2 linked regions of the Caenorhabditis elegans genome follow. The protein of the gene in region 2 purifies or fractionates together with the protein of the main gene of each other region. This does not show direct contact. Each region holds a gene or a part of one and is shown on either strand. Other genes may lie near its edges.

The links. The genes of interacting proteins can lie anywhere in the genome.
Region 1: the proteins of fbf-2 (region 2) and ccf-1 purify together in Caenorhabditis elegans (affinity purification with western blotting; 2 studies listed by BioGRID, with this or other methods). This does not show direct contact.

Annotation. Positions count from the first base shown.
Region 1 is NC_003281.10:11,918,328-11,922,139, reverse strand, and holds ccf-1 (CCR4-NOT transcription complex subunit 7), read left to right. Parts: upstream 1-1,902; 5' UTR 1,903-1,919; coding exon 1,920-2,048; intron 2,049-2,095; coding exon 2,096-2,380; intron 2,381-2,432; coding exon 2,433-2,951; 3' UTR 2,952-3,312; downstream 3,313-3,812. Other genes in the region: Y56A3A.22 (DUF1279 domain-containing protein), read right to left, coding at 1-443; trap-4 (Translocon-associated protein subunit delta), read right to left, coding at 734-838, 891-1,219, 1,354-1,399; znf-593 (Zinc finger protein 593 homolog), read left to right, coding at 3,427-3,552. UniProt on the Caenorhabditis elegans protein: Catalytic component of the CCR4-NOT complex which is one of the major cellular mRNA deadenylases and is linked to various cellular processes including bulk mRNA degradation, miRNA-mediated repression, translational repression during translational initiation and general transcription regulation.
Region 2 is NC_003280.10:6,088,332-6,093,357, forward strand, and holds fbf-2 (Fem-3 mRNA-binding factor 2), read right to left. Parts: upstream 3,150-5,026; 5' UTR 3,042-3,149; coding exon 3,000-3,041; intron 2,952-2,999; coding exon 2,718-2,951; intron 2,670-2,717; coding exon 2,494-2,669; intron 2,442-2,493; coding exon 2,189-2,441; intron 2,146-2,188; coding exon 1,532-2,145; intron 1,481-1,531; coding exon 1,352-1,480; intron 1,306-1,351; coding exon 1,102-1,305; intron 1,058-1,101; coding exon 811-1,057; 3' UTR 532-810; downstream 1-531. Other genes in the region: nspg-3 (DUF19 domain-containing protein), read left to right, coding at 3,489-3,751, 3,871-4,025, 4,069-4,165, 4,214-4,424; tpp-2 (Tripeptidyl-peptidase 2), read right to left, coding at 4,549-5,026. UniProt on the Caenorhabditis elegans protein: RNA-binding protein that binds to the consensus sequence 5'-UGUGCCAUA-3' in mRNA 3'-UTRs. Involved in the control of stem cells and sex determination in the C.elegans hermaphrodite germline.

The DNA of each region.
Region 1 (3,812 bases), on a different chromosome or scaffold from region 2:
ACCACAACTCCGGCGGTTTCGGGCGTATTTTTGACCTTTTCAACGATAGCATCCGGCATATGAAGCCATTCGAGCAATGAAATCACATCAACTCCACTTTTAACCACCAAATACAATGCGATAAACCATGCTGTACACGATGCCGCGTGAGCCGGCACAGCGATATACCAATATCTTTTAAAATAATATTTCACTTTTGCGAACAACGTTTTCGGCGCTTCTTCCGCCTTCATTTGCTCGATTTTCGCCGTTTTTGCGAGTTTTTGCTCCTCAGACATTGTCATTCTGAACATTTTCCATTTTTGATCGTCTGGCTTCTTCGGAGTGGGCTCTTTCTCGTGGAGTTGTCGACTTGTGTGCAGGAATCGTGAGCTTGATGGGGTCTGGAATTGAGCACAACAGATGCTCCGCGAGCATCGGATTATGGATCGAGCCAAAAGCATTTTGCCTGAATGAAAATTTTGGCCTAAAGGGGGTCTTAAAATTATCTAAAGTAAGTTTCCCGGGGATTTACACTCTCAACTCTTTAAACTTTTTTTTACGTCAGTCTAGCAATTAAATTTCAATTTATGGCTATTTGGGGGCTACTGAACTTATAAATACACGAATGGGGTGGAAAAAGGGGCAAAAATCAATAAATTACATTTTGTATATATAAATAAAAACAAAAAGAACAAAAACCCAGCACGCAAACGTGCGTTGACCAGTAATTTGGGGATAAAAACAATGATATTTAGTGGACAAGTTCGGTCTTTTGACGAATGGCGTAGTAAAGGCCAATGACGACGATGATGACGGCGACAGTCTCGGAAGAGATTGGAGACTTCGTGGCGAGACCCTGCAAAAAATGATTTTTAAAGATAATTATGTGAAAATGATGCAATTCTCACCCCATGGCTTTGTTGAACGGTGAAGAGTGGCTTGGTGACAGGGTTCTTGGCGTATTGAGCGGCTCCCTCCTCGTCGAAAATGTTAATATTAAAGGTTTGAGCTCCGGCGTCCTTGTGCTCAAGAGTCCATGAGACTTGGAACTTGGCGGTCTCGTCGGAAATCGAGACTGGGATAAGGCGACCGTTTACTTCAGCAGTGTATTGGATATTCTTCGGGTTGTTGCTGCATTGAAGTGTGAACTCGGTGATGAAGGTGGTTTTGTAGTGGAAGAATCCGTCGGTAGTGGAGAATGACGAGGCCGAGTACTTTGGCGACTCGCACTTGGCGCCTGGAATATTTATTGTTTTATTTGTATTAAATGTTAACAATCTACGCTTAAAATTCGAAAAATCGAGCCTTATTTTTATACAAGCCACACATTTGAATAATTTGTGTGGGAATTTATTAATTTTTCCAACTTACAAAGAGCGGAAGCGACAAGGCAAAGGGCGACGGCGATCTTCAGCATTATTACCTGCAAAAAAGTAATTAAATTCGTGTTTTGAAGAATTATCTTGTAAAATGAGTAAAATAGGCATTCTATACGTATTTTACTCGAATTTGCATCATTTTAACGCACAAAATTCATGTTTTTAGGGTAAAAATCAAGAAAATAAGTGAAAAATTCATTAAAAACACATTTTAATTCACTAAAACGATGTTTTCTCGACAGTTTCACGTAAAACAAACTCACTTGGCAGCTAGCCAGTTTGCAGTTCTCTCCCGTTCGCTGCGAGACCCACACCGCTGGGAAACTCCATGCGCCTTTAATGCCGATCCAAAATCGATCGTTCAAGAACTTCTTTTGCGCTTCAAAACTTTTGCAAACTGACTTTTTCTCCCGTTTTTCTGCTTTAAAAGTTTGCGGAAAAATTATTTTATTTATTTTATAAGCTATTTTCGATTTCTGTCCCATAAATTCGTTTAAAAAAATCGAAAATAAAAGCGTTCACTCTAAAACGAAAATTCTAGTTCCAGATATCATAAAAATGGCTTCTAGTAGCAGTGGTGGAGCAGGTGGAGCAGGTGGAGCAAGTGGAGCACCAGAAGTCAAGATTCACAACGTATATATGTCAAACGTGGAGGAGGAATTCGCGAGGATTCGAGGATTCGTCGAGGTACAGCCGATCGTTTGAATATTTTTAAAAAATCGGTTTTTTTTCAGGATTATCCCTACGTGGCAATGGACACAGAATTTCCCGGAGTTGTGGCGACACCGTTGGGCACATTTCGAAGCAAGGAAGATTTCAATTATCAGCAAGTGTTCTGTAATGTGAATATGCTGAAATTAATACAAGTGGGCTTTGCAATGGTCAATGACAAAGGAGAGCTACCACCGACTGGCGATGTTTGGCAGTTCAATTTCAATTTCTCCTTCGCTGAAGACATGTTCTCGCATGAGAGTGTCGAAATGCTCCGGCAAGCCGGAATAGACTTCACATTGCTGCAGGTTTTTTTAATATTGATTTTCCAATATTTTAATAATAATTTCTTTCTTCCAGAACAATGGAATACCGACAGCAGTATTCGGAGAACTTTTGACGACGTCAGGCCTCATCACTGATCCACGGATCACATGGCTCACGTTCTCTTCCGGCTACGACTTTGGATATTTGTTGAAAAGCATCACACTTGGAGATCTGCCTAAGGAAGAGTCAACGTTCTTCATGTGCCACAAAACTCTCTTCCCAACCAGCTTCGACATCAAAATCCTGCTCCGAACTCCAAATTGCGCGTCTGCAAAGCTGAAAGGAGGACTTCAAGAGGTCGCCGATCAGCTGGACGTGAAACGACAAGGAGTTCGCCATCAAGCTGGATCCGACGCACTGCTGACCGCCGCCACGTTTTTCAAGATCAAAAAGCAGTTTTTCGGAGACAACTGGAACCAGATTGCTCCATTGATCTGTGGACATATGTTTGGTCTTGGATCTTCGCTTTCGCTGTTCCATAGCTCCGGATCAACTTCTCGACTAGGCGATGAGACACCACAAGGCCTAATCGGAGTTCCACAACAAGCCTGAACAGATCTCTTTCCCGTCATTTTTCATGTGTCTATTTCTTTTATTTTTTTCTTCCTTTTTCCACCAAAAACCGTCTACACTGTTATTGTAAATTAGCTGTCTGTTTCGTGCCCTTCCCCATCTCTCACCCAAGTTTTTTGTGTTTTCACGCGCCCTATAATTTGTCTTTGTTATTATATCTCCCTATACTTGATGACTATACGCTTAGTTGTTTATAGGTGATCATTACTCTGAAAGTTCGATCTTTTTTATTTGTAATTTTCAGCAGCAGTAGAAGCTGGGCGAGATCGGGCGCCCCGTGTATCTTTTTATTTTCATTTTCCCTCCCCTATGCCCAAAAAAATAAAAATTTTCGAAATCTACTCGCGGAAACTTTAAATTTTCAACTAAAATAAGGGTTTTTGAGCCTGAAATTATCTTTTTCAGCTGTTTTGTCTAGATTCAAAGCTTAACAAAAGTAGTATTTCAGCAAAAAATGCCGAGCGGTGGACAGAGGAAGCACACGATTTCGAACAAGACACGTAAACGTCCCGGAAAGGATTTGGATCAAATCCATGAGGATTTGAAGCCTGAAAAGGCCGCCAAGCTTCTCCAGCAAGAGGTTTTTCAGATTTATTACTCGAAATAAACCCTTAGAATTCGCAACACTGCCGCACGGTTGTATTTTAACTGCTTTTCTACAATTTCGCGTTAATTTTATCAGGAAATCTGGCAAATAATCAAATTTTGCTGGAAAAAATGCTAAAAACTCGTAAAATAAAACTGTGCGGTGAAGTTGCAAAACTGCGTGCCGCGGCATTGCGGTGTGTCTCCGCCCTCTAACAAAGTTTCGTTTTTATTCATTTTATTCTCTTTTTTCGA
Region 2 (5,026 bases):
CAACTATTCCATCATCATTGCTGGGTCTTGGTCTTGCCACTTGGTTTGGAATCGAATTCAACGCTGCAACAACACAAATTGTGTCAGGAAGTACGAATTTATCTTGACAATTTTAATTTGAAAGTATTTTTGTTTCAGAGTTCTAGCCGAAGAACATTTTCTCGATGTTGGATAACAATGAGAGGATTGCCACCACCTATACGAGGACCACATGAGAGAAGGACCGCCAATGTTCGCGGAGTTCTTCCTCATCCCCAGTATCCAATTTTTGTTTTTCTATTTTCTGAGAGTCCCATTATTTTGAAATCGATGCAATTGTAAGATAAATTTCAATATGATAATTGAACTATATTTATTCTTCATGGTTTCTAATTTGATTAAATTTACAAAGTCAACATTTGTCGGTTATCAGTTTTTTGTTCTCCGAGCAAAGAACAACTTTTCTCTTCGCTTTCAAAATTGTTTTCTGAGCAGGCATTGTATGGAAGCAGGAAGCTCTCGGTGGAAGCATGACAAAGACTCGAACGATATTTTGCCAAGTTGTCTAATTTTATCTGGATTCATTAAAATCGAAAATAAAAAATTAACAAAAACAATGAACAGTAAACAGAAAGAAACAATAACACAACTGCATAAAAAGCAATAAAATAACAAAAAAGAAAAGAAAAAACAAAACTGGGCAATGATAAGAGTGGGGAAGGCACAACATCGATCTTAAAATCGAAACGAAATCATTGCACCAGTTTAAAATATTACAAAACAACAGAACATAAGTGGGTGGGATGAGATTTATGGTGAGAAAGTTCCACCTTAATCATCGCCGTGACTACCGGAAGAAGAAAATTTGACAGAGACTGAAGACTTATTGCTCCGTGGCTCTAGCATCAGGCTTCCTTCCTCGATCCCATTCTTCTCCAACTCCGGACCATCGTGCTCGGAAGCAGTACTGAAGTAATCCGTCTTGAATGAATCGTGTCCCGAAGATTGGAGTTCATAAATCGGATGAGTTGAACGGAGATTGGCAAGCGTCTCGATCATCTTTTTGCCGGATGAGAACCTGAATTTCGAATTTCAAAATATTATTGTGACAATAGTGATAACCTTGACAAGCGATGCCTTTCTTTCGTAACTCTCGAGTGCAACTTTTTCAGCCAATCCTGGAATGAGATTGCATGGTCATAGCCTCCTTCTTTCGTTTGCCGTCTTCCAGACACAGCATCACAGCAAATAGTCAGCATGCATTGAACGACGTAGTTTCCGAATTGATGGAACATCATGATATCGAGGGCATCTTTTCCCGTGTCCCTGAAAAAACATTTCATTTTTATGTGACTGAAACTAATGTTTTTACGGATGTGGAATGTATCCGTCGAAAATCTCGTCCATCATTTCGGCAAGAAGTTCCAATGGTGCATGTAGGAATGCTTTCTCAACAACATGAGAAGCAAACTTTTCCTGGGACAACGAAAGAAGGTTGCGCCTGAAATATTGATGATTAAAAATCAAGTAGATATTAAACAATAACACTCACATGAGGCATTTCTCTATGATACATTCCCGATAAACGGCCAGATCATCATTGGATACAATATGCTGTATTATGTAATTGGCATACTCGTTCGTAGCTAATTCTTGGCACCGATTAGTCACAGAAGTCATGAGTCGTTGGAGCGCTCGTTCACGAAGATTTTGAGCAGCGGAAGTTAAATCAACGTTCATTGAATCAGCAGTGAGCTTTTCGATAATAGTTTGCACAACACGGCACCCATACTTATCAGAACAAATCTGACGGAGGTGCTCTGGGGTGGCAACGAAATCCACAATAAACTCCCAATTCTTCAGTGGGATGACTGCTACGACTTTCTGAATGACGTGATTGGCATTTTGATCAACACAGATTGCGATAAGACGAGCATCACGAGGTAGAGCTTGAACAAGTTTACACGCAAGGGATAAATCCATGTTCTGGAGACTGGATTGGATAACACGACACGCAAATTTGTCCAAGCACATATCTGTCATTTGGGAACTGATGAAGTTCTTCAACTTTTCTTGTCGCTTTGTGTATCCGTCATCATTAGTTGCCAATGAAATTCCAATAACGCTTTGTACCAAATAATTTCCAAAGATGTTCGTGCTCAATTTCTGAAAAGAAAAGTCATGTGTGCTCGCAGAAACTAAAACTTACAAGGAAATCATCTTTTCTCCCAATAACTTGTTCAAACAATTGGAACTTCTGATAAGATGTCAGGCTGCCCTTCACTGCCTTTTCTAGGAACTGGCACCCAGTTTTGTCAACGGCAAACTTCATTAAATCGCCACTATCCAAAACTTCAGAGAGCGACAATCTTGAACGCATTTCACCATTGGAATCCAAGGACCAGGTTGGCAGCACATTGTTTGATCTTGTGAATGATCTAGAGTTCCTCGACAGAGCGGGTCTATAAATAAAAAAGAATAAATACTAGAGGATAGTGATAAATTAATTCGAACCTCGAATATTTCAAATGGTAGTGTTTTGAAGAACCATAGCTCTTGCTACGATCAATATCCGCAGAGAAACATCGGACATTTTGTGAAAAATCATCCGACTCGAGACGCGAGGAATCCGTATCAGACTGAATGAATGATGAAGTTCGGCTACGCGAGACCGGCATGAACACATTGGGCTGCAAATCAGTAATGAAAACAACCAAAAATTGCCTACTCTAACTTACAAAGCTCTGAAAACTCCGAAGGCTCATCAAATCAGTTAGCGGGGTTGGTGGCCGCGATGTAACAATGTGATTCTGTTGATGGCGAGCATAATTAATCCCATCGTTCATATTGAGCATTGAGAAATACGGGTTGAGAGAGTTGAAGTCCCACATAGGTGTCTCATGCTGCGCCATTGGTGATTGTGCGGGAGTCGGATAACTGTCAATCCCTGTAGAAGGAGGCTTCTGGGAAGTCTGTAAAACTTAGGCCATTTGTTTCTTTAGAAGTTACTGAAAACTTACTTTTCTGAACTGATTCGTTCTGCGCATCTTTGATTGGTCCATGTCGATTAGTTGATAATTTTATTAGAATGATTACTCATAGAAAAATTATCAATTCACAGAAAATAGGAATGGGAATATGAAAATAATATTTAAAATCGAATTCGCAAATGACGAAAGTGTGTCACATACTCTGGTGTTTGCGTACTTTGTCATTGTCTACCGTAACCAAATTGAAATTTTCAAATAATGCGAGATTCTAATCACATGTTTCAAGAATTAAAAAGTGTATTTAAAATAATTATCAATTTGATTACTAATGATTACTAGAAACAATAAAAATTTTTGGAAAATTCCGGGACCGTAACATATCAAATTGATAAACACATTTCAACCTCCCGAAAAGCTATAAACCGGTCGACTGACGGTGACGACATTTTACGAGCTATTCTGTTTCAGACTAAACACTTTAAATTGCTCGAAACACAAAATTTTCTTTCCCTATATTTGATGATTTGGAATATTCTCGTTGTTGTGGTTACGATCGTTACTAAATCGCTAGAGACACTCGAAGTTGATTTAGCAGGTCTAGTGAAGCAAACCGTAGCGGGAAACGAAGGAGTGCTGCATAACTGCAGTTCTGATCAAGATCAAGTGCTACAACAATGTTATATAGATATGTTTCAATCATATGGTTCAAATGTGACTAGCCTTCCCCCAGCAGACGAAGATCCATTTAAGAAAATTCGGTACGATGCCACTGGAATGTGTAGGTATGTGAAGGTATTACAACATTGCAACACCTTTTAAATTGTAAAATTATTGAAGAATTTCAATAGAACCGGTTTTACATGCTAGAATAAATATTTTTAAAAAAGACGAATAATTACAGTACATATACAACTCTACGTCACTGTCATAGTGACGTCATCAATGATTGTCTCAACTATAACACTTTCAATGCAATTTTTGGTTCAGAAAGCAATGCAGCTTATTACATCTCACAAACGGGGTTTCTTGAATTCTATTGTAATTATGGAAATGATTGTGAGGTTTTTCATTCTCGTTCATTGTTTTATAAATATTTCAGTTGTGGCATATTATGAATGTATGCAAGCAATCAGTTTGAATGATCTCTCTGACACGATTTATACTGAATGTTCCGTTTTGGAAGTTGGCAGTTGCGAGTGAGTCTAATAGTTTCAGACTTATTGAGATTAGTTTTTAATTTTGAGCTCCGTATCACGAACCACACAATGTGAGCGAGCAGTAGTGAGAAAATCATGTGGAAATAGTGCTGTCAAATCATACTGCCAATATCAGAAGATTCTCACCCACATGACTGGGTGGAACTTCTGTGAGTACATGCCATGCATCAATTCGTCGCAACCTCGAACATTCTTCTTCTTAATAATTTTAATGTATCTCTGCAAAATTTTTGTTTGATCTCATTTATAAAACAATAAAAGTTTATCTATTCAAATGGGAAAATCATTTGATTCACAACGGAAATGGAAGCAAAAAAGCTTCCAGAAAAAAGAAACCCGCGAAATTTCTTATGATACACTAATTAGAAAAGACGGTAGGAGGTTCTGTTTTTGATCAGAGCCGAATTTTTAAAGTGAGTAGCAAGATGATTCCACTCGAGACTTTCGCAGACTTCAGCCAATGATGTATCAACAGCTTGCGAATCAGTAGCAGACGACTTCAGTTCATCTCCAGCTTTGTTGAGAAGCTTTGCACATCTTCCAAATTGTCCAAGAGCAGCTGCATGTTTGGCAGAGATCAGTGCAGTTTTAGTATCATCAGCAGACAACCAAACGAGAAGCTTGACGTAAAACTGATTTCCAGTCCAATTACTATCCAACTTTTTCAGTTCTTCAGAGACAGTTGCATCAATTTGTTCAGATTTTGATTTCAGTGCTTCATAACCTTCAGACTTCTTATTGATCACTTCTCCTTGCTTTCCACCGAAAATTAGAGGAGTGATTCCTCCGAAACGAAGACTTGCTGGAACGTCGAACTTGCTCTTACGAACTTCAATATCC